Rattus norvegicus: one gene and its partners. The protein of the gene in region 3 interacts with the protein of the main gene of each other region in a biochemical or structural test. Links are inferred from orthologs where the notes say so. Each region holds a gene or a part of one and is shown on either strand. Other genes may lie near its edges.

Region 1 (3,500 bases), on a different chromosome or scaffold from region 3:
ACTGAGGTCTTCTGTAAGAATGGCAAGTGCTTTTAACTGCTGAGACATCTCTCCTGTCCCTCTGTGTAGTTTTAACCCACACTTTTCTTACTAGTAACGACATAGAACATCTTGGCCATCTTTAAGTGTTTTAAATAGCATTTGATCAAGAGATTCACAGTTGCTTTTGGCATTCTTTAGCCTAGAAAGCACCTCTGTGAGATGTGTTCTAGTGTTTTCTTGTCTGGCTTGCCCCCTCTCTTTTTGTTCAAGCTTTCTACCGATCAGAAGTCTCTATCCTGAGTTCCAGTATATCGATACATCAACTTTGACTTTTAACGGATAGTGCTTTTGCTGCGGCAGCTGAGAAATCACTGTCTGGTCACAGAGCCCCTCGCCGGTTTGAGTTTTGTTCTTTGACCCTCAGTTTCCACAGAGATGTAAGATGCAGGTTGAAGTTCGTTTTTCTTAGTGTGGATCTCCAGGAGGCTCAGCCTTCCCAGCTGGTGCGTCTTTGGACCTTTGATACAAGTCAATGTTCCATGCACATGTGACTGTTGACTACCTTTGTTGGGTCCCATTGGTGTGCTGGTCAGTTTGGAGGACTTTGGTACATGTTCGCATGCCTGTGACAGCCAGAAGTCAGCCTTGGCTGCTGTTCCTCAGGTGCTGTCCACTTTGTATCCTTTGGGACAGGGTCTCATTGGCCTTGGTCTCACCACAGAGGCTAGGCAGAGATCTGACTGTTTCCACCCCCTCAGTGTGCCACCCAAGCCAGCTCTTTTCACTCAGGTTCTGGAGACTGAACTCCTGCTCTTACACTCACAGCGCAGGTACTTTGCTAACTGGGCCGTCTCCTCAGCACTGACGTCTTCACTCTGAAAGCAAGAGAATGCTCTTCCCACTGCCCAGGCCGGAGGGGCTCTCCAGCTCCACTCTTCCTCACTGCTGGTGTGGCCCTTCTCTGGCCACTTCTCTCTTGTCCCTCTCTTTCCCATCAGAGAGGTGGCCGCAGCAATCAGCTAACCTTGTGTTAGGGCTTCTGTCATATCCTGAAGAGGCAGTGTGGCCATCTCCCTTATCTTCCGGGGATTCGGTAGCTTTGGGAGAACATGAGGGGAGCTGAAGGATTTTCTGTCTCCGCCTACTACTAACCACTCTCTTGGTCCACTTCTTCAACCCTAGCTCAGCACCCAGCCCCCTTGCCAAAGGCTGGCTTAGAGGATGACAGCAGTCACCAGTAACACTGAGAGGACTCCCCAGTCAGTGCTCTGTAAAGTGCTTTCTGGTAGAGATCAGGTGAGGGGAGACTGTCCCTATCTTACAGATGGGGCAGTTGAGGGTCCTAGTACCCAGGGTTGCTTGTCAGGAGCAGAGCCACATCTTCGGGTCTTCTGATTTCACATCTGGCTGCCTTCCTTCTGTGCCTCAAGGAATGGTTTCAGGCTGTCCTCTCTTGTTCGGCTCTGTAATTACTGTTTTCAGCTGTAGGGGCTCCTTGGTCTGGGCCTCATGGGAGGGAGGTAATTACATCCTTCCACACACCCTTAGTCAGCAGCTCTCAGTCCCTGTGACCAAGCCTAGCACTGACCTTTGCCCCTCGCCATTCCAAGCCAGTGGCTTGGAGATTGTTTGGACCCTGGTTGGCTCTGGTTGACACATCTGGCCAGCCCCTCCCTTATAAAGTACTCATAAAATCTGTTGAATTCAGACTCATAGGTGCCCTAGGGACAGAGAGACAGCTTGCAATGGCTCTCTGCTAGCTTGGCCCAGCTACTAGAAACATCATGCCCCTGACCTGGGGCTCCAAGGACACCTTCTTGTGGAAAGGGCAGTCCTGCCTTTCTTACTCCATGCTCGCCACCCCACTACCTCCCAACCCGTGGGCCACACGCTGCCAGACTTATCGTAGGGCCTGTTGTTTTCACATGGGTACCTGTACACAGTCCATATAAACATCTCAGAGGCTAGTTACAGCTTTCAGAGAAAAGTGGAACTCCCCACCAGGTCAGCTCTCTTGGCCATTCGTCCTCCTCTTGTAGTCTTGTACCCAGCTTCCACCCTGTCCAGTGGTCACCTCTATAGGGCCAGACTGGTGACATCTACTTGAGCTTATTTCAAGAATGTCCCCTTTCCTTCAGAGCTGCTACTCTGAGAACTCTGAGGCCTACTAGGTGCAGTGCCTCTCTTCCAGCCTAGGAAGCCTCAGCCTTCCTTGGTGGGCCTCCTTGTTTCTTTTGGGAGCTGGGGCCCTGTCCAGCAAGAACAGTTAACAGTGGTGCTCAGATGTCCTGGTCCCCTGTGTCTGGGGGAGAAATGAACTTGAAAGGGTCTGCCAGCAACCTTGAACTCCTCAGGAGCTGCTGGGGGCTAGACTTAGGAGACAGCAATCCAAATCTACTTAACTGACGCCTTCTGTCCCTTCTTTGCCATGACAGGTCACTGGATGGCCGGCTGCAGGTATCCCATCGGAAGGGGCTCCCCCATGTCATCTACTGCCGCTTGTGGCGGTGGCCCGACCTGCACAGCCACCATGAGTTACGGGCCATGGAGCTCTGTGAGTTCGCCTTCAACATGAAGAAGGATGAAGTGTGTGTAAATCCTTACCACTATCAGAGAGTAGAGACACCAGGTACGTGAGAGGGGCCTTGCCCTCCCCCTGCTACCTACTCTGAAGGTTCTCAGAAGCCCTTGGGGGCTGGGACCTCAGTGTGCCAGCACTGATCCGTTTCTGTTGTGTCTCCCTTGGGGACAGTGCTACCTCCAGTGTTGGTGCCACGCCACACCGAGATCCCGGCCGAGTTCCCCCCTCTGGATGACTACAGCCATTCCATCCCCGAGAACACTAACTTCCCCGCTGGCATTGAACCCCAGAGCAATATTCCAGGTAGGCACGGGTGTCAGCAGAGGCAGGCAGGAGGCAGGGGTGGTTCCATGTTCCCCTCTTCTCCATATTGTGGGCATACAGCAGGCTCTTGGGCCCTGATTCTGCCACATCCCTGCCGGGAATGATCAGTGGCTGGAGCTTCCCTAACGATGTTTTTCTTGGCACAGAGGACCCTGTGACCCTTCTGCAGGGCCTCAGTGCCGTCATTTATTTTGAAAGCGGAAATAGCAACACTGTCTCTCTCCTGGCCCTCCCAGCCCATAAGGCTGGCACACCAGCAGGGTCCCTAAAGGGTAGGGGTGGCAGAGGGTGAGGCGAAGCAGCAGGGGGGCTCTGTACATACCTTGAGCTTTGGGCTGGGCAGAGAGGGAGTTGAGGCAGTAAATAGAATGTGCTCCATTGTCAGAGTGCCAGTGTTTCTAGAAGCCCCTCATTTACATGCAAATAATGTGTGAATCACTGCCAAGCACTCTGGGCATCCAGGGAAGCTGTGCTTGGCCACGCTAGGACCAGTCAGGGCAACTTTTGCTTTCGGGGCAATGATCCAGCTGTGTTCCTTTTAGAGTGTTCTAATTTGGATGTGGCTTTCACTCTGGGTTGGTTTACTGGACTGAGGTTGGCTGTGGCCGTGTCT
Region 2 (4,282 bases), on a different chromosome or scaffold from region 3:
GATATGCATCTTCAATTCTAAGGTGTCCCTAGTCATTAAAAGAAAATGCCACCCATACTTCTTTTTAAAAGAGAAAGCAAATCAGAAAAATCAAGCGAGGAAATATTTTCTTCAACTCTATAAAGGCAAAAAGGATCATTGTCTTTCTACCTCTGGCTCTGCTGAACCTATATTAGATACCCGGGTTTGGGAACTTAAAGAACTGGAGAGACGAGCTGTGCCCCAACAATTGTGGCTTATCTCCTTTTGCGACTTCAACACCTCATCGCTTCCATTCTCAATAAAAAAGAAGTAAGCAACCAGTTAAATTTAATTAGGGGCAATAAAGTGACAAGATTGTCTCTAAACACTCTCCTCTGACCCTTTAGCCACCACTCTGGTCCTCAGGAAAAAGTGAGATTCTCGTAACAGGAAAGAGGTTCCATAGAAGACTTCAGATCTGAGGCGCTACTGGATCTAGGTGCTTGTGCAACAGTCTTCTCCCCGCGCCGCACCTCTTTTGGGTTCAGGATGACTGGAGGCTGGGGGCTGGGGCTGGGGCTGGAGAACCGCGGAGGCTCGGCTTGCAGGTGTGCACAGGTAGGGTGGGAAGGGGAATCCGGAGCCGCAGAGCGACGGATCTTCACCGTAGGATCTTCGTGCCTGGGGCGGCCCGGGCAGATGCCAGCTTAAGAAAACATTTCTCCAAAACAAACCCCACCGACTTCCCGAGAGCTCCGCGAAGACGCGTGGGCGGAGCGGGCTGAGTGGAATCCACGAGGCGCCCCACCGCCCACGTCGCGTCCGGGAGCGCGCAGCGGCTCCGCGCCATCCCGGGAGTCGGGGTCTGGGCACTGCCTGGAGTACTCGATTGCACTCCGTAGTAAACAAAAGTATGGTCGCCGCCTCCACGCCGGTTTGCCTCCTAGCAATCCGAACACTGAGGCGCCAGAGACTCAGAAACACTTGAGAATTACAGAAAATAATAACGGAGATTAGAAAAAAAAAGTGTGTGAGAAAGAAAAACACCCCGCTGCCCCCCACCAACCTACTGCCGCCTCCCGAGGGAAAGGAGCTCCCTCCCAGGCCCGCGTTCATTGGTTGTCTAGGCAGAGACTTGGCGCGTCCATTGGTCGCGCAGCCTGTCAGTCAAGGGCGGGGCGGCGCGCGCGCCGCCGCGGGCGGGGAGCCGCTGCAGATCCCGTAAGACGGGAGGCTGCGGAGTCGCTGCAGTCCCCGCCGCCGCCACATTCAACAGGCAGTAGCGCCGCTGTCGCGCGGCCGCGGGGGAGAGAGAGCGGCCCGCGGCGTCCGCCGGTCTGCCCTTGCGTCCGCGGCCCTGTCATCAGGAGCGTGGTGCCCGAGCTGCCGGGCTCCGCGGCCTGGTCCTTGCCCCGTCCGAGGCACGAACTCGGAGGATCCCCGACACCGGTGACCCAGCGAAGTTAAGTTCTGGGCGCGTCCGTCCGCTGCGCCGCTCCTCGCTCCGGCGTGCGTCCGCCGTCCGCGGCCCCCAATCTCGGAGCGACACTCCGAGCGCCGGCTCCGCGCCCCCGGTGGCCGCGTCTCCTGGTACTCTCTGCTGGTGGGGGAGGGGCGGGGGGCACCATGGCCGAAGCGCCTCAGGTGGTGGAGACCGACCCGGACTTCGAGCCGCTGCCTCGGCAGCGCTCCTGCACCTGGCCGCTGCCCAGGCCGGAGTTTAACCAGTCCAACTCGACCACCTCCAGCCCGGCGCCGTCGGGCAGCACGGCCGCCAACCCCGACGCCACGGCGAGCCTGGCCTCGGCGTCCGCTGTCAGCACCGACTTTATGAGCAACCTGAGCCTGCTAGAAGAGAGCGAGGACTTCGCGCGGGCACCGGGTTGCGTGGCCGTGGCGGCCGCAGCTGCCGCCAGTAGGGGCCTGTGCGGGGACTTCCAGGGCCCGGAGGCGGGCTGCGTGCACTCGGCGCCGCCGCAGCCCCCACCGACCGGGCCGCTGTCGCAGCCCCCACCGGTGCCTCCAGCCGCCGCGGGGCCACTCGCTGGGCAGCCGCGCAAGACCAGTTCGTCGCGCCGCAACGCGTGGGGCAACCTGTCGTACGCCGACCTCATCACCAAGGCCATCGAGAGCTCGGCGGAGAAGAGGCTCACCCTGTCGCAGATCTACGAGTGGATGGTGAAGAGTGTGCCCTACTTCAAGGATAAGGGCGACAGCAACAGCTCGGCGGGCTGGAAGGTGAACGGCCTCGGGGCGGCCCGGGGGGGTGGATTTGTTGGGGCCCGCCGAGGGTCGGCCGTGTGGGTGTTCCGGGCCCGGAAATGATGGGCGCACGGAGAGAGCGGGCGAGAAATGGCAGGTGTGGCGGGGGCTTCCCCGAGACCTGGAGCCAAATTTGGACGAAGTGCAGGCGAGGGAGTTCTAGAGGGACCCCGGGAGGGCTTGTTTGAGAACTTAAGTGAAATGCCAGAGCAGGCTTGGAAGTTGGCTAGTTGTTGGAGTAGAGGGGCTGGCTTCGAAGGGTTCGCCACTTGACACTCCGGACCTGCGAGGGGTCGGGGCGACTCCTCCGCCCACATGCGCACCCACTCTCCCGACCCTTGGCCGACGAGGTTCCCTCGGACCCGACAGCAGAGGTGACGGGAGCACTGGAAACATTCCCCACGCACACGCGGGGCTCCCGCAGCTGATGGGTTAGCTAAACGCGCAGCGTGCTGAGCGCTGTGCGGGCCAGCAGTTGCCGAAGGTTCCCCGAGGCCGGGGCAAATTTGGTTTTTTTATCCAAAGTGGCCTGAATCGAGCGTTCCCACTTGCTGGGTACGGTTTCTGACGCGCGCGCAAGTGGGTGGCTAAGGTTTTTAGGCTCTGGGCAACCTAAAGTTCAAGTGTGACCCTTGGCCGGGGCGGGAGCAGGCGAGGAGGGGAGGGACCGGGTGTACAGGAAGCCAGAACCTTTAAAGGGCCAGTGCCTCCAGGCTGGGAGGCCACACTTTTGCGCTCAGAGAAGGGCTTCCACAATTGGGCTGGCTTGGGGAGGTATGCTTTTAATTGAAAGCCGAGTCGCTGTTGTGTGTGACCAAATTGTGCATGAGTGTTGTGGAGTGATTTCTCTTCCCATAAAGCTTGGGGCTACCCACGACCTGGTAAGGCTGGGAGCTGTGAGTGAGTATTTGGTGGAAGTCTTAAGTGGGGTGCTCACTGGGGAATTGCCAAAGACACCTGCCTTGAAGGAGGATTGCAGACCTATAAATTAGGTGTTTAAGATTGTTGTTTGTTTACCTTTCCAAAGGTGGCAGGGAGAGACTGAGGCGACTCAGTGTGGACTGTGGCATCTCTACCTTAGGGGTTTGGGGGTGGTATAAGGGCCTAGGGCATTTTGGGAGGAGAGAATCTTACCTAGAAGTCCCTCTCGAGGTGTGGCCACCCCTGGCTGACAGTTTCTCAGTCACAGGTGGGACATAGCTTTTCTCCCACCTGGTCTCTGCTGTATAGCAGAACAGAGATTAGCCTTCACTGCATGCTTGTTAGAGCGAGGTGGTTTCACATACTCTGTCATCCCTGTGGTTAAAGTATCTTAAAGGTCAACTTACTCACCTCATAGAAAGTTCTTGCAGAAAGAGCCAGGGGTTGTTTTATTTTTGCCACAGTGTTTTAAAGATATATACAACACCTTATCCTTGTGTAATATTACCAAGTGTTCCAAAAAGCAAATTACCTATTTTTCATATTCTAAGAATTCACAAAATAGTGGTTGTCTTTAAAATCTAATTTTACTTAACATTTGACTTTAAGTACCTGACTGCTTTACTTGTTTATGGGGCTTCAGCTGTTACATAGAACATTTGCCATTGCAAACAAAACATCCAAACAAAAAACCCTAAACCCTCTGGGCACCCAAAGTACAGTGTGTACTTAACACCATTCTTTTATGTTCTTGGAAAGGGACACAACCTACCTGAGTTTGTGGGAGTGCCTTGCTTTAAGGATAAAGGTAATGTTTTGGGGTATTTTCGGACGGCACTGTGAAGATGCTCTTGAGAACTATAACTTGATTTTAGAAATTAGTTCTTAGAAAAATAGGTTATATCATATATCTTTTTAGTTGTTTTGCTCCATTCTTCTGATTTCTTAATGTGATAATGATTTATGTATTAAATTTTTTTTCCTCGTTGGCACCAAGAACAAGCGCGGGCTTTTGGGGGGGGGGGAGGTGAAGACAGACCGAGCCTTTGCTGCCTGAGTGGCCAGTAAGCTTTAGAAGGGGCCACTGCACTTTGAGAGGAGTAGATGCTTGACTGTAAGAGCTGGTCGGTCGGGGTAG
Region 3 (3,500 bases):
CCCAACCCCCACCATTAGCATTTCAATCAGTACTATACTTTCAAAATTGAGTGAGGCCATTGGGCTATTAGGAATGTTTTCTGACAGTGATACCCACTAGAAATACAGGAGGACTTGACTTCCATGCCAGGGGCATGGCTGACAGGACTGCATTAGGCATCTATCTAGCTTTGACTGTTATCATTTTGTTAGGAGTAGGCAGAGGAAGGAGCACATGGGGAAATGGTTTGAGTATTTGCACTTCCTCACCATTCTGTCTTTTCTAGTGTCAACAATTAAGTGATCAGTCTTCTCACAACTTAACTGCTGCTTAAGAAATTGCTTTATGAAGCTGGGCCCACATGGGGGATGATGCCTTTAATCCTAGTACTTGGGAGGCAGAGGCATCTCTGAGAGTGTACAAAGTGATAACTAGGGCTGCTACACAGAGAAACCACATCTTGAAAAGCAAAATAAACAAACATAAAATAAGAAACTGCTTGTGACTTCATCTTAGAATAGAGTTGAACTGTGATAAGAAAAAAATACATGGCCTGGGGAAGCACCTGAGCTCAGGAGCCTGGTACTAGGTATGATTAGACCAGGCCTCTAAGACTGTCCTCAGCTATACAGTGAATGGAGACCAGCCACGTTATAAAATGATCTCAGAAACAAAAAATTATTCCTTCCATTTCCAAACCTCTTAGAAAAGCATGTTAAGGGGCAGAGAACAGTGGCTCAGTGGGGTTAGGCATTGCTTTTTGTCACAAGTTGCTTTCGCAGAGGACCCAAGTTCCAGTCCCAATGCCTTCGTGGTGGCCATCTTCTACCCCAGCTGCAGAGGACTTGGTGTCCTCTTCTGGCACGGAAGCAGAGCACCCATTCACATAAAACTCAGTAAGTAAGTACAGCCATGTGAGCAGCTCTGTAATCAAGCTTTAATTTAGAAGGGGGTTTAAATATGGGAATATGATTATGAATGTCTGAGTCCGTCTTAAATCTAACATTAAGCACTATTACAAAATAATAGTGGGGCTCTAAGTAACATGAAACATTTGAAGAGTAAATCTGTAAAAATGTTGGCACATGCCTTTACTCTCAGAACTAGAAAGATAGAAGCAGGTAGATCTCTATGAATTCTAGGCCATACGGGAGTTACAAAATAGGACCCTGTCTTAAAAAAGTCAGAATTTTTGAAAATCTATCACTAGGATTAGACAAACCATGCTTACACTTTGAGACACAATGCAAATTTATAACAGCCTCATAGTCACACCATTTTCTCACAAGCAAACTCTATATGCATACTCTTTTCATCCTAGTCAACCCTCCTCCAGTCAAACCATTTCTTCCCTCCAAATTTCCAGCAACCTGGAGTGAGTTCTTACCCTGTCGGCTGGGGTGAGCAGCTTAGGAGCCCACCCTCCACAGCCTTCTACCCTGCAGCGCCTCACTCACCTCTTTATGCTTTTCCATGGTGGCGTACAGTTTCTGAGAAAGGTCATTAGACACGTTGGGCACGCCAGGCTTCTTCTTGTTGCCCCTGCTCAGGCTGCTCTTGTTTTTGCTGGTCTTCTTGTTATTCTTCTTCTTAGCATTTTTGCTATCGCCTTTTGTTACCTGTAGGGCAGCACAAAGGAGAAATGAAGATTGTTAAGACAGATCTGAAAATGACTCTGGGCTGATAATTTTTGTTGTTGTTGTTATTTCTGTAGCTGCTTATCACCCACTATTTCCTTTTAACGTTTCTCTCCTTTTTTTAAACGTACAAGCAAATGCTTAACTATTCTTTGTGTGTGTGTGTGTGTGTGTGTGTGTGTGTGTGTGTGTGTGTGTGTACAATTGATGAATGTATGCCATCTGTGCATAGGTCTTTTTGAGGCTCTCTGATTCCAAACTGGAGTTAGCTATGACCTTTTTCCTGTGGGTATAGGGAACACAGTTGAACTGGGTTCTCCTTGAATAACAGCAATAACTTTGGAGTACACAAAGTTGCCTTTCTAAATTGCTTCCCAAAGACCCCAAGTTTCATTATGTAGAATAAAGCTTGTAAACTTTTTCAGAAAAAGCCTCAATTTGCTTGGAAGTGGTGGCTCATGAATTTAATCCCAGCACTCAAGGGGCAGAGATTTCTGAGTTTGAGGCAAGCCTGGTCTATAGAATGATTTCCAGGATAGCCAGGACTACACAGAGAAACTGTCCCTAGAAAAGAAACAAGAAGAAAAGAACAAAAAACTACAAGAAAAAACAGACAGAAAAGCCCCAGTTTGCAGAAGCCATTGGCTCACGTGTCCAGATTAGAGATAAGACTTGAGTGAGGGGCACCATAGTTGGCAACCAAGAAAGAGGGACATCAGCAAGCTGCCACATAGGACCTACTCAGTCATGAAGTTAACCAAAAGTTAAAGCATTCTGGTAAATAGGGGGAGGGGGGGATGAGATTAGGGATGGGTGCTGCCACACTTGCTTTAAAACCTTTCACTCTTTTTTTTTTGGTGCTGGAGCCCAAACTTATTCATCTAGGACCCTTGTATGTATGCACATCATGGCACAGGCCTGTAGACGTCAAAGGACAGCTTATGGAAACTGGTTCTCTGCTTCAACCATGTGGGTTCAGGGAGTAAATTCTTTGTTTGGTGGTCAAGTGCCTGAGTCTTTTTATTCACTATACAGAAGTCTGGCCTTGGAACTCACACACATCTGCCTACTTCTGCTTCCTGAGTGCCGAAATAAAAAGGTGTGTGTAACCCGCTTAACCAGACTTTATTAAGTTGAAATCTAGAAAACAGTCTAAGTGTGCTCCAGTCAATAACTGATCAGGCTACTATGAAGGAGTCTCATTAACTGATCTAGGCTTGTGCCTGCCTGTGATTGCCAGCACTTCTGGGAAATACACTAGAGAGCATATGAAGTCAGCAAAGCCTGTAAGCAGCCATAATTTGGTCTATTAGATCCATTTTTTGGTATGGTTCTCCAGGAACTTTTATTACTCAATGTCAGGATACTACTTACAAACAGAGAAACCCTTAGTTCTGAGAATTTGCCTGCTATGCAGCCAAGGTTGACCTTGCATTATGAGGCCCTAAGGGCTGTGATTGAAACACATTATAGCTAGCAGAATTTAAATTGCCCTTTTACACCAAATCAAAGTGTAAACTCCTTTCTCTATTATCAATGAGATGTCAAGACAGACACTGCAGACAAAGTTCTTACATCGGTACTCTCGTTGCTGGTGTTTTCTTCCCGTTTCCTCTCTTCCTCTTCCTGTTCAAGTTCCTTGATGCTTTCTTCCAGAACATTGGGCCAGAAGTCACCTTCAAAGTAAGGTAATTCCTTTGCACTTGTTAATCGATCTTCAGTAGCTTGCTTTAAAATATCCTGTTTAAAAAAAAAAAAAAAGCCTATGTAAATATTAGGAATTTCTATGCTTTCTTTCTAAAAATTTTATTTACTTTTTGAAACAAGGTTTTCTGTGTAGCTCTGGCTATCGTGGAACTTACTATGTAGACAAGACTGGCCGG
Region 4 (4,266 bases), on a different chromosome or scaffold from region 3:
GAAGTTGTTTACAATGGGGCTTAGTGGTGGTTGAGAAGGATCAGAAGCAATAGGCAGGTCTGAGGACCCCTCATCTGGGAGGGGTCCCAAGGCCATGTGATCGAGTAATTCCAAGAGGTCTTCCTGGAGGAGGAAGGAGCTAGTCAACAGCTTCAGCTGAGCCAGAGGGTAGCAGATTGGTGGGAATGGAGGTCCAGGGGTAAGGGCTGGGGTGGGAAGAAGGTGAGGCCTAATGGATGGGGCAAGGCTGGGCACAAGACTAGTGTCTCCTCACCTGGTGATCAGACAGACTGCTTTTGCCATTGGTGTCAGGGGAGGTGTCCAGATGTACAAAGTCCCTTGCTCCTCCTGTCCAGAGTGGAAGTGAGCAGAGTAAGTGGCAGAGATCTTCCAGACCCCACGGTTCCTGTGACCCCCAAGCCAGCCTTGTTACACACACCTGGAGTCACAAACTCATACACTTTATGAGGGTCAAAAGGGTCCTTGCTCCGGTCCTCAGCTAATCGCAACACTTCTTTCCGGTTCAGGGCTGACCGGAAATTCCTCTTCCAGGTTGACAGGTCTGGCTTATCCTTCCCTGGGGTGTAGGCACCACTGGCTTCCGCCCAGGCCTGATACATCAGTGATTCCAGGACAGTAGGGAAGACTACTTAGACACCTCCCACCATATTCCATACATTTCTGGTTCCTGACCTAAGTTCTCACATTCATAGAGCCCCTAGGACTTCTGTCCCGACCTCATCCTTATCTATATTTTCCACACTTTAGAAAAATATTTTTGAATATGAGACAGGGTCTCACACATTATAACAAAGGTAGGCTCCAAGTTTCGACCCTCTAGCTGCCACTTCCAGAGTGCTGGGATTACAAACGTATGCCACACATCCACCTTCAAGCCTTTTGATTTTGGTTTGTTTTTTTTTTTTAGGTTTATTTATTATAGACGAGTACACGTAGCTGTCCTCAGATGTGCCAGAAAAGGGCATCAGATCTCATTACAGATGGTTGTGAGACACCATGTGGTTGCTGGGATCTGAACTCAGGACCTCTGGAAGAGCAGTCAGTGCTCCCAACCGCTGAGCCATCTCTCCAACCCAAGCCTTTTGTTTTTTAAGCCAGTATTCTAGGACCTACTTGGTACCTCACCCCACATTCTGTTACTACCATGCTGATCTGGTAGCTAATAACCCCATCCTGAGGGCTGTTCCAATTCTTAAGATTTAAGGGATCTAAAATCAAGAGCCCACCCCCCCCCCGAGATTTCCCATCCTCTAATAAAAGAGCTGTTCTCAACTATCCGAATACAGATCCTCATGATGTAGTGAGTCCCCAGCCCCAAATTTTTTTCATTGCTACTTCAAAACTGTAATTTTGCTGTTATAAATCTTTTTTTTTTTTTTTTTTTTCCGGAGCTGGGGACCGAACCCAGGGCCTTGCTAGGGCCTTGCTCCTGCTAGGCAAGCGCTCTACCACTGAGCTAAATCCCAACCCCAGCTGTTATAAATCTTAATGTGAATATCTGTTTTCCAATGAAAGGCCCGTTCAACCCCCAAAGGGGTTGCGTCCCACAGATTGAGAACCATTGCTCCAGAACAGTTTTTTAGAGACACAACCTGGCTTTCAGAATTCTATTCCTGGAATCTGCCAATCAATTCCGGGCTGTCCCTCCAAGTCTATCCCACCTAATTAGCAAGACCCAGCCCTGTCTAGTCACGCCCATAAATGCCTCTGAAGTCTCAACGCCCCCCCCCGCCCCCTCCCCCCCAGCACCTGGAAGATGCCAAAGTCAGCCATCTGTGCGTCCTGTCGTAAGCCATGCTTCCATGGGATCCTGAACTTTGTACGGCTCTCGTCCAGCCAGGCCACACCTTTCAGCTGTCCCAGGTCCAGCTGAGACACCAGCCAAGGCAAAATCAGCGGTTTCGGGGTTCCCATGATCCAGCCTGCGCATACAGTGCAGTTCCTGAGCCTGTATGTCAAGGGGCAAATGCACTCAAACCTCTCCGACCCGATACAGCACAGGCCTTCCTTCACCCTGTTTTCCTGTGTACAAACGGGAAACTCCTTCCCACCTTTCCAATTCCAACGGGACCGCCTATCCTACCCCACAGTTTTCCATAGGTTCTTTCCCTTTTCTAAATGTAAACCCCTATTACTCAAAGCAAGTACCCCATTTCCAGGGTGGAGTCCTCTTTCCCTGTCTTTAAAGAATCATGACTGTTCTCACACCCACCTCACCCTTGCAGAAAACCCTTACTCATTTCCAGAGTCTTCTCCCAGCTGCTGTCGCTTCTTCTGCTTTGTCTTTTCTACATTGTTTTTATGGATGTTTTGAGACAGGGTCTTAGTATGGAGCATAGGCTGTCCTCGAACTTGCTATGTAGCCATGATTGGTCTTCAACTCACTGTGTGGCCCAGGCTGGCCTCGAATGCACTCTGTAACCCAAGCTACCCTCAAACTTATTCAGTAGCTCAGGCTGGTCTTCAACTCGCTTAACCCATGCTGGTTTGGAGCTCATTCTGTGGTTCAGCCTGGCCTGGAGCTCACTGGCCTCGAACTTGCAGCAATCTTTACTGCCTCCAGTCTGGATGCTGAGACTGCAGGCTTCCGTCTACAACGCGTAACCATTCTGGTTTTCGGTAGCCGAGCTCCTGTGCCCTGAGGCCGCCACCCTCCCGGTTCTTCCGCGTTACCTACCAGGGGAGGAATTGCGCGCTCGTGGGGCGCGGGTGTCAGCACTGGTTTTGGGGCTCCCAAACAGTAGTTGAGACTCGCAGCCACGCAACCCCCTTCTTTGTCAACTAAGCTTCCGAGCGTTGGGACTTTCCTTTCTAATGGTATTTTGAGATAAAAAAAAAATTTCTCATCATTTACTTTAAGAAAAGTCAGAAAACCTAGGAGCACACTCCGACTGAACCGGCCTAACTCCCTCAATGCCCTTTTTTGGCCTTCCGCCTACAGGCATGCTGGGAACGCCATATGCAAATGATGCAACACAGCGCTCCGCCCCCTCGACGTTGGGGCGGTTACCGTGTCGGCCCAGTGCGCAGGCGCGGGAAAGTTGAACTTCGGAAGTAAAGTTTGTAGAAATTGAGTGAAAGCGTGTGTGCGCCAGTACGACTGAGGCAGAACCCCGATCCAGGTGAGCGGGGTACCAGGGAGGGAGCTAGGTTGCAGGAGAGGTCACAGCCAGTCCTGTCTCTCTGACTTCCAAGCACGGAGGTCTCCTGGTGCCCGCCAGAGGTCATTGGAACTACATCTCCCAGCAGGCTGCTCGGTGAAAAAGAGGGGAAACCCGGCTAGCGTTTGCCGCAAAGCGTACTAGGATTAGTAGTTCCCTATTCTCTAGGGTCTTCGAGACTCCTTCAGCACTCAGGGCTCCCTTCCTGCTCCTGCATGTAAGAGTCCAAGCACTCAGTTACGTCCTTTCTTTCTTTCTTTCTTTTTTTTTTTCTTTTTTTTCGGAGCTGGGGACCGAACCCAGGGCCTTGCGCTTGCTAGGCAAGCGCTCTACCACTGAGCTAAATCCCCAACCCCTACGTCCTTTCTTAGATTCAATAATTCAGGCCCTTTCTCCTCAACGGAATCAACTGCCCCACTGGCCCTTAAGCCACCTTTTCCTTGGAGTAAGGTGTCCTCTTCATTCAGTGATTGAATGAAGTTTGAGTTATCACTCCATTTGGGTACATTCTCTGTCTTCTGCTTCAGGTACCTCCATGGCCGGCTCTGAAGAGTTGGGTCTCCAAGAGGACACACTGAAGGTTCTGACTGCCTTCCTTAGGCGCGGTGAAACTGCTGGGTCCCCTGTCCCAACTCCACCCAGGTGAGATACTATTCCACTCCCCCAGGGCCAGCCTTTGATCAGAAGATCTTCCTGAGTCTAGTGGTCTACTCCCTTCATACCTAACCCCATATGTCTGTCCCAAGCTTCAAGAATCTTCCACGAGAGGACGAAGGGATTGTTTGCTCAGAACCCTCTGGGATAACTCTGAGGTTCTTGCCCCTAGGAGCCCTGCCCAAGAAGAGACAACAGATTTCCTGAGCCGACTCCGAAGATGCCTCCCTTGTCCCCTGGGGCGAGAAGCTCCTCCCCCTGAGTCCTCTAGGCCCTGCTTCCTTCCCCTCCGTCCCTGCTATGGTTCAGAGCCTGGTAAGAGATTTCTTCAGATCACTTGTGAAATTTGGAGGCTAGCAGCCTTGGTCCTGAAGAATCCAGACAGTACCCATTATAAAGTCAACACTGCTCAGCTTCAGTGCCGGCCATA
Region 5 (4,179 bases), on a different chromosome or scaffold from region 3:
TATTTAAATCTTTGAGGCTTGTCTACGGTTGTGTTCAACCTAAAAGACAACTCTATTTATACTCTTTGTGAAGACACTTTGAAATTAGCAGATTTTAATAGTTTCTTTCACTTTGGGGGAGTTCTACAACAGGATTTTTTCTTTTTGGTATGAGAGAATAGTATATATTTTAAATATCCAACGCCCCTCCCCCCACACGCACACTTTGGTGCCCTTTCAAGCGCACGCGTTTGGGCACATGCAGAGTTAAGAGGACAACTTTTGGAAGTTGATTCGGTCCTTCCCTGATCAAACTCAGACTGTCAGGCTTGGTGGCAAGTGGTTTCTCCCTAAGACACCTTGTTGGCCATACAAGTCTATTTCCCGTCCATTACTTATTTTAGTAAGTGACTAGAGAACGCAAGAGGCGGAGCCAGACAAGCCTGAGTTATTTTTGTTGTTGAGACAGTCCACCTGCCTCGGCCTCCCGCGTGCTGGGAGTGCGCTAAACTGGACTGGATAATCTTAAACTTAAATCGTGCGTTTCCTTTCTAGAACTCTAAAGTACCGACAAAGCTCCTCTGCTCCTCCAAACCCCAATCAACTCCAATACTCGTGTATGCAATGAAATGCTAATAGACCAAGAGAACAGGTGCCTATTAGCAAGGGAAGGCGAATAAGATTCCGCCAGACCTGTCAAAGCACTAAAAGTTCGGTCCAGGCCACAGGCTGTGGGTATCTCGGTCAATCTCTGGACGTCGTGTTCATTTATACAGGATGGGGCACCGGCCTCGCAGCGCAGCTGAAAACCTCTGCTAGGTAAAGACGTAATGTAGATATAGAGGGAAAATAAGGCTGCGGGGGTCCCCGTATGCAAATCTGTGCCTTACAGCCGAACGCGGGCGCCCGCGCTTCCGCACTTCCCCTCCAAAGCCACGCCCTCCGGCGCGGGGGCGGAGATTTGCATGTGCGAAATAGGGAATAGGGGGAACCACCGGTCGAAAACCCCGGGCGGGCCTCTGGCGGCCAAGGAGCGAGCCGGCTGCACCGCCCGGCCCGCCTCCGGCCACTCGGCCAGCGTAACGTCACGGACACGCCCCTCGGTTTTAAGGACTCCGGAGGAGGGGGATTTCTCAGAGGCCAGCGGCTTCTCACGCGCGGAGCCGTCGCCGCGCGCCCCCGGGAGCTCCCCGCGCGAGCGCGCAGGCCGCCGTGGCTCTGCCGGGAGCGGAGCGCACTAGCCGGAGCCGGGAAGCGCGCCCGCCGCGAGGCTCCGCCCTCGTCCCGGGTAGGCGGTGGCGCGGGTGACGTAGGCAGCGGGAAATCCCCCCCCGTTCCGCCGGGCGGTCCGCTCCGCCCCCTGCCCCTGCCGCGGCATCCTGGCAGGGCGACTCCAGGACACTAGTGACCGGAGCGCGAAGATTCGGGGGTGGGAAGGTGTGAGCCGCAAACCCAGAGGGGCCGGGAAAGAAGAGGAGGCCCGGGGGTGGTCGGAGGACTGGGGTCGCGGCTGCAGAGGCTGCTCGGCCTCCTCCCTGGCTGGCTGGCTAGTTGGCTGACTGACGGGCTAGCTGGCTGGCTGACTCACTCACTCACTGACTGGCTGGCTGGCTTGCAGCCTCTGGCCCGACGCTGGAAGCTGCGGCGAGCGGCGCGCGAAGCGGAGCCATGGCCTCGAGTGAGTACCGGGGCGAACACCTGCGGGTCAAGGGAAGGAGCTGTCGGGGGCTCGGTTTGGGGTTGGGACGGTCTGCCTTTCAAGTCTTTTCATCTGGCAAATTGTCAGCCGTTTAAAAAGTTACCTGCTCCAGGGTTTGCGTGTGAAATCAAAGCGGCGCAGTGTAATCTGATCTCCTGGTAATAGCCAGAACCTTCGAAATTCCCAGCCGCGTGCTTTTAGGATCACAGGGCGTAATCTCAGTAAAGGCGAGCAGAGAATTCTCGAGTTTAAAGACTGAGTGGGTATGGAGACCCGGTTTTACATTTTTAAACTAAAAAGAGGAACCTCCGGACCTCAGACGAGCTTTCTTTTTTAAGTCCAATCTTGCTAGTTACTGATGGCTCTTGGTACAGAATGTGGTGTGGCTGTAAAAGTCCTCAGTGGCGTTTTAATTCGTTCCAAGCGAAAGCATTACCTCCGCTCCCAGGAACTAAAGGAGATGCTTGTCTAGTTTATAGTGTAGAGACCTCGATCCACTCAACCCCTAACCCCAAACCTGCGCCCACATTCAGCAAGAGGGCGAGAGGATTTTTTTCACTAGGTACTGGTAGGGATGAAAATGTCATCATTTGATGTCAGTGTTTATATGCCACTAGTAAGTATTGGATCGCCTGCTTTGAGGAGGACACATTTATAAGAAACAGTTTACAGGACAGGGGCGTCTAGTATGACAGCCCTGCAATTTGTAAAGCAGGTGCTTCAAGCAGCTGAGGTGGTGGTGGGGTGCTTTCCATCGTGGGAGCTAAAATGACACCTTCAGTCTGTAGCAGGACTCTGACCCTTATCTTCCCAATGACCCACAGTAGAAGGCAGCCGACGTCTGGCAGAGAAGAGGAAGTAGAAAGCTTAGTGACCGCTTTAAGAGTTGAGCAGAGCAATGCCATAACTCCTGCTGTAGGCCGTAAAGGAAACTGGGGTGTTTCACATGACACTTGATTTCAGTTTGTCTGTGGTTTTCATGAGAAAACAAGTGTAGTTTAAAATATTTCAACTTTCTCTTTACCCATTTAAATGAACCCAGACTTTCAGATACTCTAGTAAATTCGTAAATTTAACTCGTGTTCAGATTAAGAAGCACGGAAAGGCTTTAAATGTTTAATTCATTGGTAATCCGAAAGAGATTTTTGTATGAAATGTATAGAGTGGCAAGCTTTGTTAAAACAGCTCTGCCCTTGTCTACTTAACAGGATTTTATTAATAGAGTGCACGACTGTAATGCTTGAAATTTTTCAACAGAAAAATCATTTATTAAAGGACTGTAAGACAGCTATGATTTTAAAAATTAATACGAATGCAGTTTGCCTAAGGACACATATTATGTGCTGTTATAGAAATGATTCCAAAAGTTAAAAGGGGGAACTTTTAAAAGAAATAGCAAGTTTTAAAGATTTAGAAGTTGGGTTGGACTTGCCCAGCTTCTGTGAAGCCCTGGGTTCAGTTCTCAGTACTGTCAGAAAAAGAAAAAAAAAAGAAAAAAAAAACCAACAAACATAGAAACAAATCTGAAACTTGTAGTGTCATTATCTTCTTGCTTTTTGATCTTTTGTCAAGGGTTGCACTAAATGAGACTATTTTAAATTGTAATTTAGACTATAATTTAAATTGTAGTTCGGTTATTTGAAATTACTAGGTGAAAATATAGTTTAAAGGAGCCTAGAAGCCGTATCAGTTATAAAGACCATATAAGAGAAAACTTATGAAATACATTTAAAGTTCCCATTCCATTTGAAGTCATTTAAAAGCATCAAACTGCTTATTTTATCATTATGTAATTTAGACTCTTGTTTTCGATGTAGTACTGAAACCTTGAGAAGTGTTTCTGTCGATCGCCAGGTATTTACGTCCATTCGTTCATTCCTTCTCCGGATGTCATATGTAAATAGGTGTGTGTAATTTAATAGGTGGTGCCTTATAAAGGCAAAGTGTCATAGATCATACTCTCATGAGCAGAATTCTATAAACGTCCTGAGTAGACAGGGTTTTATATGATGATTCTAATTATTGTTCAGGTAAGTTAGCAAATTAAGACCTCCTAGCTAGCCCTTAAGCTGACTTTCATTGCCTTTTAAACAATACTGTCCTTTGATTCTGGCCTTTTGATGAGATTAATCATAGCAGGCAAAGTGCAGAAAAGTGTTCCCGATCAAAGTCTGCATATTTAGGAAGTCATTATCCACGCAGTTCTATTCTATTTAAGTCACTTTGTGTCCATGTTTAAAACTACTCATTATTTCCTAAAAAGAACAAAATGGAGGGAGGTAGCCCCTTACTTTGTGAGGCGAGTACTACAGGTTGCTAATGATTGCCACCGTCTTCGGTGAGATGCACTTTTAAATGTAGAAAGTTTGTATTTAGTCACACTTTTCCTTGAATATGATTCTGCTGTGTCACATAACAGGAAGGAAGAAATTATCTTTGTAGACCTTACTACTCACTAACTTTTTGTGTGTGAATTGCAGTAACCCTCCCCCCCCCCATAA
Region 6 (4,069 bases), on a different chromosome or scaffold from region 3:
CGGACCCAGTCACCGAACCTCATTTCCACACACCATCACTCTACGGCAGCTCCTGTCTTCCAGGCTCTGAGCTACAGAACTGGAGCCTTCAATAGCTCCATGGTGTGGAGTGTGCAAACCTCAGCCCCACCCCCACCCGCCCCCACCCTCCGCTCTCCTTCATGCGCACCCACCTGCTAACCACACACTGTCACTAAAATTAGCATGCAATTGATAGAACTCACTAGAGGCAGCAGATAGCATAGCCTCAAAGAATTACTTAAACTTCCTTTGATTCCCCTTTCTTGTGTCTTTTTATAGTCAACATTATGGCCAATGGCAGATGGCTTAACAATTCCCTACTAACACATACTAGTCACATGCCTATACCGACATGTGCAGCATGTGCGAGTGAGTGCACACATGTGCACACTCACACCTTGATAGAAGGCATCGAGAGCAGAAAGGAATCCTGGGGGAGGCTTCTGATTGCAGATTTGGGTTAGAATAGTCCAGAAAAGCTGAGACGAATTGAAGGAGCCACCTTCCCGGTAAGGTCACAGCAGGGCCTGTGCAGTCTCCAGAGAAGGCATATTTGTTCAGGCTCTCCCTTGGTATATTATTTAGCTACACTCACTGAATGTTCAATATTCCTCACAGATGAAGGCTAGACAGAATGCCTGATGGGAAGACCAAGTCCCACGTCCTCAATCCTCCTGAGCGCGGGTTCCAAAAGGAAAATCACCTTATTCCGAGACAACTGAGGCCCGATGATACTGAGTCACTGGCCCGGGTCACATTCCTGTGGGGGTGTCTATGGAGGTTCACCTCAGATCAGTAGGGCCTTAAATCCTAGCCATGGCTGAGTGGGCTTTGCCTACCACAGCCCACTGAAGCAGAGTGTGCAATTATGATTAAACCAGGCCTTTCTGTCACACTTCAGCCCTAGGAAATGCCCGCCAACTGAGAACTTCAGGTCGCCTACTTAGATGAAGTCAGCCCTGTAACCTGTTGATTAAACACAAGCCACCCTCAGAAAACCAGCGACACAGACAGAGGTGTCCACATGTTCCCTCCAGGGCCAGTCGGATAGCGCTTTCTGTGGTCCCAATGTGCAGACACTTGGGGACTTCACCGTGATTCTTCGCTTCTGAGATAGGCAGAGAATAGCTTTGGAGATCTAGAATAGAGCTCCCCTGCCTTTTGTGTACAAACAGGAGCAGAAAAGGGAGGCTCAAACTCCCACATAAAGAGCTGTAATTACTGGCTACAGAACAGGGTTCCTTTGTTGCCTGGCTTTTAATGAGTTTTGTAAAAAACCATGTAGAATTAAAGCCCTCTACTAAATGGCTTCAGGCAGACACGCGGCTAATCAAATTTAAGTCCATTTATCCTACTGGATGTGCTTGCTAACCCCTGGGACAAGTCAAGACTCTAGATAAATCAATTTTCAAGTTTAGAGCTTTTTGGTACTTTGGTTGGGGGGGGGGTGTACAAGAAATGGAAGAAAATGGCAGAAATGTAATGGCTGAGAATAGTTAAGTTTTGAAACAAGAATTTCCCGGATAACTGTATCCTTATTGGAACAGGTAATCACTTACATAAAAGAGCATAGGTTTGTATTTAGGTAAAATTTAGGTTAAAAAAAATAAAAGAAAAAAAAACCTTTTGAAGGTTGGTTTGCTTTTCGCTTAGCGATCAGTTTAGAGAGATGAATGACTAATTCCATATATGAGAGTTTGACTATTTCCCTGTGGGATGCGCGGTGTTCACATTAACTGTACTGCAAGATTACTCAGATTTTAATAAAAGCTTAACACGGAGATGTATCTCCCGATTGGCGTTGTGGGCAGACTGATAAGGGCGCAGGAGCTTTCACAGCAGGGAGTAAGTCTCTCTCTCAACAGTAAATGACTCCTGTCTCCAACCAGGACTGCACACTGCTTTACTTTCTAAATTAGTAGCGAGTCAACTACTATTTTAGGCTCCCCTGAAATTGAGTGCAGGCTAGTACAAGTCTTATGAGATTAAATAATAAATTAAAACCAAAAAAAAAGGTCAAATATGCAAACGCTTCGGGTTACCCCTTCATTCATATGTTCTACGGGGAAAATAAAAGCAGAACAGCCACGCGCACCCCTACTTGGACGTGTCCCGTACTGGCTTCCCAGGGTCCAGGGGAACCGAGAGCTGGCCGAGCAGGTGACATGTTCCCGGGAGCCGCAACTTCCCAGGTGTTTCAGGCGTCGGACACCCCCACATCCTCCCAGGCCTAGCTCCTCTCCCACTCAAGTCACCCCAAACCTGGGGCTACTTCGGCCATCTCTCCAGGTGTCTCAAGCCCCCTGGAGAAACACAGACCCGCGCCCCAGGCAGGAACCGCACAGAGCGACCACTGGCTTCCCTAAAACAAAAGCGGGCTGCCCGCTCCCGGCCCGGTTCCCGGATCCCCGGCTGAGGCCACTGGGTGCCTAGGAACCAGCTGGAGAGGCTCCGGGGCGCGCGATCAACCGGCGGGAGCAGGGGCCGCCCGCACTGCACCCCACCCCGGGCGGAGTCCCTCCCGAGGAACGTCGCGCACGGGGGCCGCTCTTACCGCGCCGCAGCAAGCAGGGCCAGCCGGAGGGCGGCGGGGAGAGGAGATCGCGGCGGTCCCGGCCGGCAAGGCCCAGCGAGACGAAGGCGTAGGGCCGATACGGGCGCGCGGGGTCGGAGACGGTGGCAGGGACTGGCGGGCCTTAGTGGTGTCCACTCCGTGCTCAGCACCGCGGTGGAGGAAGTAACCAGCCCGATCCCCTGGCCGCGCGCTCTTCTGGAGCTGGGGGAGGGCCGGAGGGGACCGGGGGAGGGGACAGCAGGGGTGACGGAGGGAGCGCGGAGGAGGAGCAAGCGCGAGGCCGGCGTGGGAGGAGAGTGTGCTCCCGCAGCGGCGGATCCACGCTGCTCCCGGGCCCTTCCCTGCGCCCCTGCAGCCGGCTGTCGCCTGCCTGCTGGCCCCTGCTCCTAAGGCCCAGCTTGGGCCTTGTGCCCAGGAGGTTCAGCTAGAAGGGCAGGGCCGTGTCCGCCCGCGTCTCCCTGGCGCACGGCCGTCTGCAGGTCCAAGCTGGGGGCCCTGGTGGCACTTGGATTGAGTGGTTAGGCTTCTGCGGTAGAACCGGTCCTGTGTTTGGAGCTACGTGTGGGTCCTGATTTCTGGTCCCTCCGACGTGAAAAGACTCTTACGTGGGGTTAGGGAGGCACAAAGTGGGCGGGTGGCGGAGTCGCGAGTGGAAGAGCAGAACGTGGCGCAGCCGCTTGAGTCTTGGGAGGCCCCTCCTACTACCTAGGTGTGGATAGCGCCCCCTAGGGCTGAGCCGAGTCTTAGCGCCAACCTAGCTGAGCACTCCGGCGCCATCTATTATTAGTCTTACTAATGCTTCAAAGCACTGGTGTTTTACTTAACATGGTCTGCCAGGTCAACAACATGCCAAGTCCAACGTGACTCTCCCAAACTCATGGTCAAAACACCAGCCAGAGGGTGGTTTCCTTTTTGGTGAGAAGGCGCCGAGTCCATGATTGGAAACCTATGTGATTGGTCCGGAGGCATAGGTGTACGTTCAATATTATTGCGTTCCTCCTTGAGTTTAGATCGATACCCGAGATTTGTAGGAAATTGCAAATGGCAGGCTTAGTCAAGGCCGCGGGACCGACGATTGGTACAAGGACAGACTTGCTGGGAAGGGAGTAGAAGGTCCCACCTTCCCTTGTACTCAGGGTTCCTGGTTTCCATGGCAACTCCCCTTCTGAAGTTGTTGCCAATCAAGATACTGTTGCATTTGATACTTCTCTCTAGTGTATCACCTTTGCAGGAGTCAAGGCCCAATCCACTAAGCTAAAACAGCTAGGTTCACAGGGGATTGATATTTCCTCAGGGCTTCTCCGTGTGAATTCAGGTCTGGACCAGAGAACCCAGGTCAAGGAGGAACTCCCTAAATAGAAGACAGATTCCCTGTTCCGTTTCCATGGAGACATGGAGCGGCATATGCTAACTTAAAGAAGGAAAGAAAAAAAAACCAGCAGAAGGTACGGACTTATCTGAAGGAGTGTGTCT
Region 7 (3,927 bases), on a different chromosome or scaffold from region 3:
ATGCTCAAGCCAGGCCCAGTGTCACTCTCTCTTCCTGCTGCCTATACATCTAGATGTAGAACTTTCAGCCTCCTCTCCAGCACCATGTCTGTCTGCATTGCCACCATGGTTCCCACCTCTGAATTGTAAGGCAGCCCCAATCAAACTGCTGTGGTCATGGTCTCTCCTCATAGCAATAGACACCCCAACTAAGACAAACAATAAGTACAATGTCTTATGCTCAATCCCCCAAAGGGATTGGGGCGAAGGTGGAGATCTTTCAAGAAAGATTGGTTAGTAAGGTGACTCATTCAGTTAAGTCATTTTGGGTAAAGCACACCCAAGTTGGTTATCAACAAGTATATGGATGGCCTAAAATATGAATGGAGGGTTGGGGATTTAGCTCAGTGGTAGAGCGCTTGCCTAGCAAGCGCAAGGCCCTGGGTTTGGTCCCCAGCTCCGAAAAAAAAAAAAGAAAAAAGGAAAAAAAAATATGAATGGAACTTAGCCCAAGCCTTCTCAGGGTCCAAAGCTTACAGTCTACTTGTCAAGACACAGGATGGTTGAAGTAATATGTGACTATGTGCTAAAAACAAAGGGCGTAAGTTGGGCAGTGGTGGTGTACCTCTTTAATCCCAATACTCCAGAGGCAGAGGCAGGTGGATCTCTGAGTTTGAGGTTAGCCTGGTCTACAGAGTGAGTTCCAGAACAGCTAGGGCACACAGAGAAACTGTCTTAAAAAAAAAAAAAAAAAGCAAACCAAACAACAACAAAAAAGCATACAGATAGATATATAGCTATGTATATATATATATACACATATATCTCATAACTGTATTGAGAGAGGAGATTCTACTGTGGGCTGGTTTTTCAGAAACTGCAAAAGAAGATGGGCTGTGGCAGGAAGGATGGCAGGATCCTGAAAATGCTGACAAAAACTCTGCAGGCAGCCTTTTAGTTTGAGAAATTCGCTCACATCCATACTCATGTCTTCTTTCCTCCTGCCTCTGGGCGTGAATCACCACACCTAACCTCAAACTCATTTGATTCCTTCAAGAAAACTAGTAAGAAGCCCAACATACCCTGGATGTACAGGCGGGGAAAGTGAGGATGAAAAGACTCGAGCAGCTGGGTCAGAACCCAAGTGTTCTTCTGACTTCTCGCCCTGCAGTGGGTATAGTGTGGGGAAGAAGGGAAACAATAGCTCTTTGGCACATGGAAAGATAGGCTAGGTCAAGCTGGTCCCGAAAGCCAACCAAAGATTTAACTCAATTCCCTCCAGCCACAGAAGGGTTTCTAACATTTCAGAGGAAGCGTATTAAGTGACTGAAAGACTAACCATTAGTTAGGAAAGAGTTTTACAACGGACCAAGTGAGAGACTATGAAGACATGAATTAGAATTACCGAACAACTTAAGTGTTGTAAAATTTGACTTTTAAACTTTACCAAGAATTTTGTAACACCCATTGCCCCTCCCCCTCCAAACAGGTTTCCGGTTTATAAATCAGTTTCAGGGAGTCAAAACTTCTAACCAATAAATCTCAGGATTAGCAACTAAAACCCAAAGGGCACAGCTGACCAACAAGTAACGTCATTTCCTCCGTTAACAACTATTAATATTATCAGAAGTTTTTAACAAGCTTAGTAGGTTAAATTTGGAACTGTCAATAGTATAGCAGGAATCTCGCGTTCGCAAATTCCCTTTAGGGGGTGGGGGAAGAATGCCTTTTATGCACTTCAGTTTACTGAAGCTTCCAAAGGCTTTTCGATTTTCTATTCAGAAGCCGCAGGATACTGTCAACTGAAGGGAGACTTATTTCCACATTAAAGCCTTAACTAACCTCCACGAAGCAAAGATCCAATCAACATCGGCAGATTAATTGAGGCCAGGCCTAAGGTGCAAGAACGCCCTATATCCTAGGCAACTCCAACACGAGTCGAAGTTCTCATCAGTTGGAAATCGTTTGGGAGAAAAGCCTATCAGCAACTAACCTTCTCCTGCTTTTCCAGCCCCGACTTCGCTCAAAGTCCTCACGGGGACGTTTTCCCAAAAAGTACACCGCAGTGCCACTTCTCGAAGATGACAAGCGCCCTGCCATGTTAGCCTCCTCCCAGGACCCAGACTAAGAAATGGGGGCGCTCGGGGAAGTTTCCCCGAGGCCCGATCCGAGCCGGAAGAGGCGTTTTCGGGAGTGAGTACTGCTGTGGCAGGCGCCAGCCTTACTCACCGCGACCGGGCGGCCGTGCTCCGGGCCGTCCGCTGAGTCCAGGCGCGCAGCCGCTGGGGCCGGGGCGGGGGCCGGAGCGGCTGCCGGGGCCGTGGCGGCGGCGGGCGGCTGCCGGTGCTTGCCGGCGCGCTTGGCCTTGGCCTGGATGCAGCGCTGGTGCAGGGCAAAGGTATGCTGGCGTTCGAGCTCCAGGCGCTCGGGAGACACAGCCTCGTAGCGGGCCTCACAGGTGCTGTGGTGGCGCCGGCACAGCTCGATGCGTCGGCGGAGGCGCTCCATGACCGCGCTGTGCCGCGGCAGCGCGAACTCCGCCATGGGGCAGGTGGGTAGCACCATGGGCCGCGGGCGGCGCTGGCCCGGCCCGGGCCTCCCGGCGCCGGCTGGCACTTCGGGTTCCTCCGCTTTTGGCGGCCCGGATCCGCCTCACGGCCGCGCCATGTCCGGGTGGGCTGTGGAGCAGACTCGGGCGCGGTGGCGGGTCTTCCTCCGGTCCCGCTCGGCCCGATTCCAGGCCAGCGAACACCGCCCGCCTCAGGCTTCGGCCTGTCCGCTATACCCCTGCCCCATTGTTTTCCGCGCCGCTGCCGCCGCCATCTTAAAATTGTTTTCGGGGCTTTCGGAAGAGGGCGGGGCCTGGGCCGGCGAACTCTGCGTCACTGCTGATGGACCCGAGCTATAGCCAATCAAACCAAACCCGCTGCCGGAGGGCGTGGGGGGAAAAGCACGTCAGGAATCTTCGGGTATTTAAACTGAACACTCAGGCTAGGAGGGAAGCCCCGAGGCGGGCTCAGCGTAGCAGAGTGTACTGTGACTGACAGGAACCTATCCAAGAGGAGCCACGTTTTCAGAACACCGCCCCCTTGAAGGCAGTCCCTTCCGGGTTCGTGAGGAACGCGGGGTAAGTAAGTGAGCCTTAAGACTCAGATGCTCAATGCTATCTTTTTAGTCTATCCAGAATATTTCGAAGCCAGCCATTTCTGACCTCATTCCTTACATACAGCCCTGTAATTGATCAGAATTGTTTTGAGCTTCAGTGACCTAGTAGAGATAGGAATCACTAATTGATCAGAATTGTTTTGAGCTTCAGTGACCTAGTAGAGATAGGAATCACTGACAGGTACTGTGAGCAATATCTCATTACTTAAAGTGGGGGGTGGGGTGGAGAGCACTAAATGGTCTTTAGCCTCCTATTGGGAACTAGAGTTATTTAGATCCACAGGAACATACACTTAAAACCGACTGATTTATAAAACTAAATCACTCAAAATTCAATCCAAAGCACTGGGTTCCAGAGATGTCACTAGCAAGCAATTGAGTGAAGGTAAAAAGCCAGGAAAGGACCAAAACATATTCTAGATGGTTACTGAGGAGCAAACTGCCATAGATGATTGGGAGGCTTTGCACTTAAGACCTCATTAGCCAGTCAAACATGTTACCTCTTACTGGAGTTCACGAAAATTTTATTTTTAAAATCACAAGAAAAAAAGCTAACAGCAAAATGTTTTTATACAAATGCAGTAAAAATAAAAACAAAATAAAAACTCCCTTTGGTGAAGGGAGTTGCAAAGATAAATGAGCACTGCTTCTTACCGGTACCCAAACATTACAATTAGCACTCAAGCTAAGTGTAAACAACTTTTGTGTGCAGTGCTGGAAGGCTGAATCCAGGGCCTCATGCATATAGTGCCACTACTACTAAGTACACCCAGCCATTAAACT

The links.
Region 1: the proteins of Ep300 (region 3) and Smad3 form a complex in vitro, tested with the Homo sapiens proteins (5 studies listed by BioGRID). The link is inferred for Rattus norvegicus from reciprocal best matches to the Homo sapiens genes EP300 and SMAD3.
Region 2: of the proteins of Ep300 (region 3) and Foxo1, one has a biochemical effect on the other in vitro, tested with the Homo sapiens proteins (3 studies listed by BioGRID, with this or other methods). The link is inferred for Rattus norvegicus from reciprocal best matches to the Homo sapiens genes EP300 and FOXO1.
Region 4: the proteins of Ep300 (region 3) and Irf3 form a complex in vitro, tested with the Homo sapiens proteins (3 studies listed by BioGRID, with this or other methods). The link is inferred for Rattus norvegicus from reciprocal best matches to the Homo sapiens genes EP300 and IRF3.
Region 5: the proteins of Ep300 (region 3) and Rel form a complex in vitro, tested with the Homo sapiens proteins (3 studies listed by BioGRID). The link is inferred for Rattus norvegicus from reciprocal best matches to the Homo sapiens genes EP300 and REL.
Region 6: the proteins of Ep300 (region 3) and Ets2 form a complex in vitro, tested with the Homo sapiens proteins (2 studies listed by BioGRID, with this or other methods). The link is inferred for Rattus norvegicus from reciprocal best matches to the Homo sapiens genes EP300 and ETS2.
Region 7: the proteins of Ep300 (region 3) and Maml1 form a complex in vitro, tested with the Homo sapiens proteins (2 studies listed by BioGRID). The link is inferred for Rattus norvegicus from reciprocal best matches to the Homo sapiens genes EP300 and MAML1.

Annotation. Positions count from the first base shown.
Region 1 is NC_086026.1:73,041,825-73,045,324, reverse strand, and holds part of Smad3 (mothers against decapentaplegic homolog 3), read left to right. Parts: intron 1-2,417; coding exon 2,418-2,611; intron 2,612-2,734; coding exon 2,735-2,866; intron 2,867-3,225; exon of another isoform or gene 3,226-3,500. UniProt on the Homo sapiens protein: Receptor-regulated SMAD (R-SMAD) that is an intracellular signal transducer and transcriptional modulator activated by TGF-beta (transforming growth factor) and activin type 1 receptor kinases.
Region 2 is NC_086020.1:138,461,492-138,465,773, forward strand, and holds the start of Foxo1 (forkhead box protein O1), read left to right. Parts: upstream 1-1,482; 5' UTR 1,483-1,587; coding exon 1,588-2,199; intron 2,200-4,282. UniProt on the Homo sapiens protein: Transcription factor that is the main target of insulin signaling and regulates metabolic homeostasis in response to oxidative stress.
Region 3 is NC_086025.1:115,050,357-115,053,856, reverse strand, and holds part of Ep300 (histone acetyltransferase p300), read right to left. Parts: intron 3,358-3,500; coding exon 3,193-3,357; intron 1,600-3,192; coding exon 1,438-1,599; intron 1-1,437. UniProt on the Homo sapiens protein: Functions as a histone acetyltransferase and regulates transcription via chromatin remodeling. Acetylates all four core histones in nucleosomes. Histone acetylation gives an epigenetic tag for transcriptional activation.
Region 4 is NC_086019.1:104,615,142-104,619,407, reverse strand, and holds the start of Irf3 (interferon regulatory factor 3), read right to left. Parts: upstream 2,801-4,266; 5' UTR 2,699-2,800; intron 2,397-2,698; exon of another isoform or gene 2,359-2,396; coding exon of another isoform or gene 2,258-2,358; intron 2,023-2,257; exon of another isoform or gene 1,970-2,022; coding exon of another isoform or gene 1,936-1,969; coding exon 1,771-1,935; intron 612-1,770; coding exon 440-611; intron 349-439; coding exon 275-348; intron 124-274; coding exon 1-123. Other genes in the region: Bcl2l12 (bcl-2-like protein 12), read left to right, coding at 3,718-3,824, 4,009-4,151.
Region 5 is NC_086032.1:101,919,139-101,923,317, reverse strand, and holds the start of Rel (proto-oncogene c-Rel), read left to right. Parts: upstream 1-1,379; 5' UTR 1,380-1,647; coding exon 1,648-1,657; intron 1,658-4,179. UniProt on the Homo sapiens protein: Proto-oncogene that may play a role in differentiation and lymphopoiesis.
Region 6 is NC_086029.1:48,489,788-48,493,856, reverse strand, and holds the start of Ets2 (protein C-ets-2), read right to left. Parts: upstream 2,801-4,069; 5' UTR 2,576-2,800; intron 2,547-2,575; exon of another isoform or gene 2,189-2,546; coding exon of another isoform or gene 2,117-2,188; intron 1-2,116. UniProt on the Homo sapiens protein: Transcription factor activating transcription. Binds specifically the DNA GGAA/T core motif (Ets-binding site or EBS) in gene promoters and stimulates transcription.
Region 7 is NC_086028.1:35,121,301-35,125,227, forward strand, and holds the start of Maml1 (mastermind-like protein 1), read right to left. Parts: upstream 2,801-3,927; 5' UTR 2,545-2,800; coding exon 2,209-2,544; intron 1-2,208. UniProt on the Homo sapiens protein: Acts as a transcriptional coactivator for NOTCH proteins. Has been shown to amplify NOTCH-induced transcription of HES1. Enhances phosphorylation and proteolytic turnover of the NOTCH intracellular domain in the nucleus through interaction with CDK8.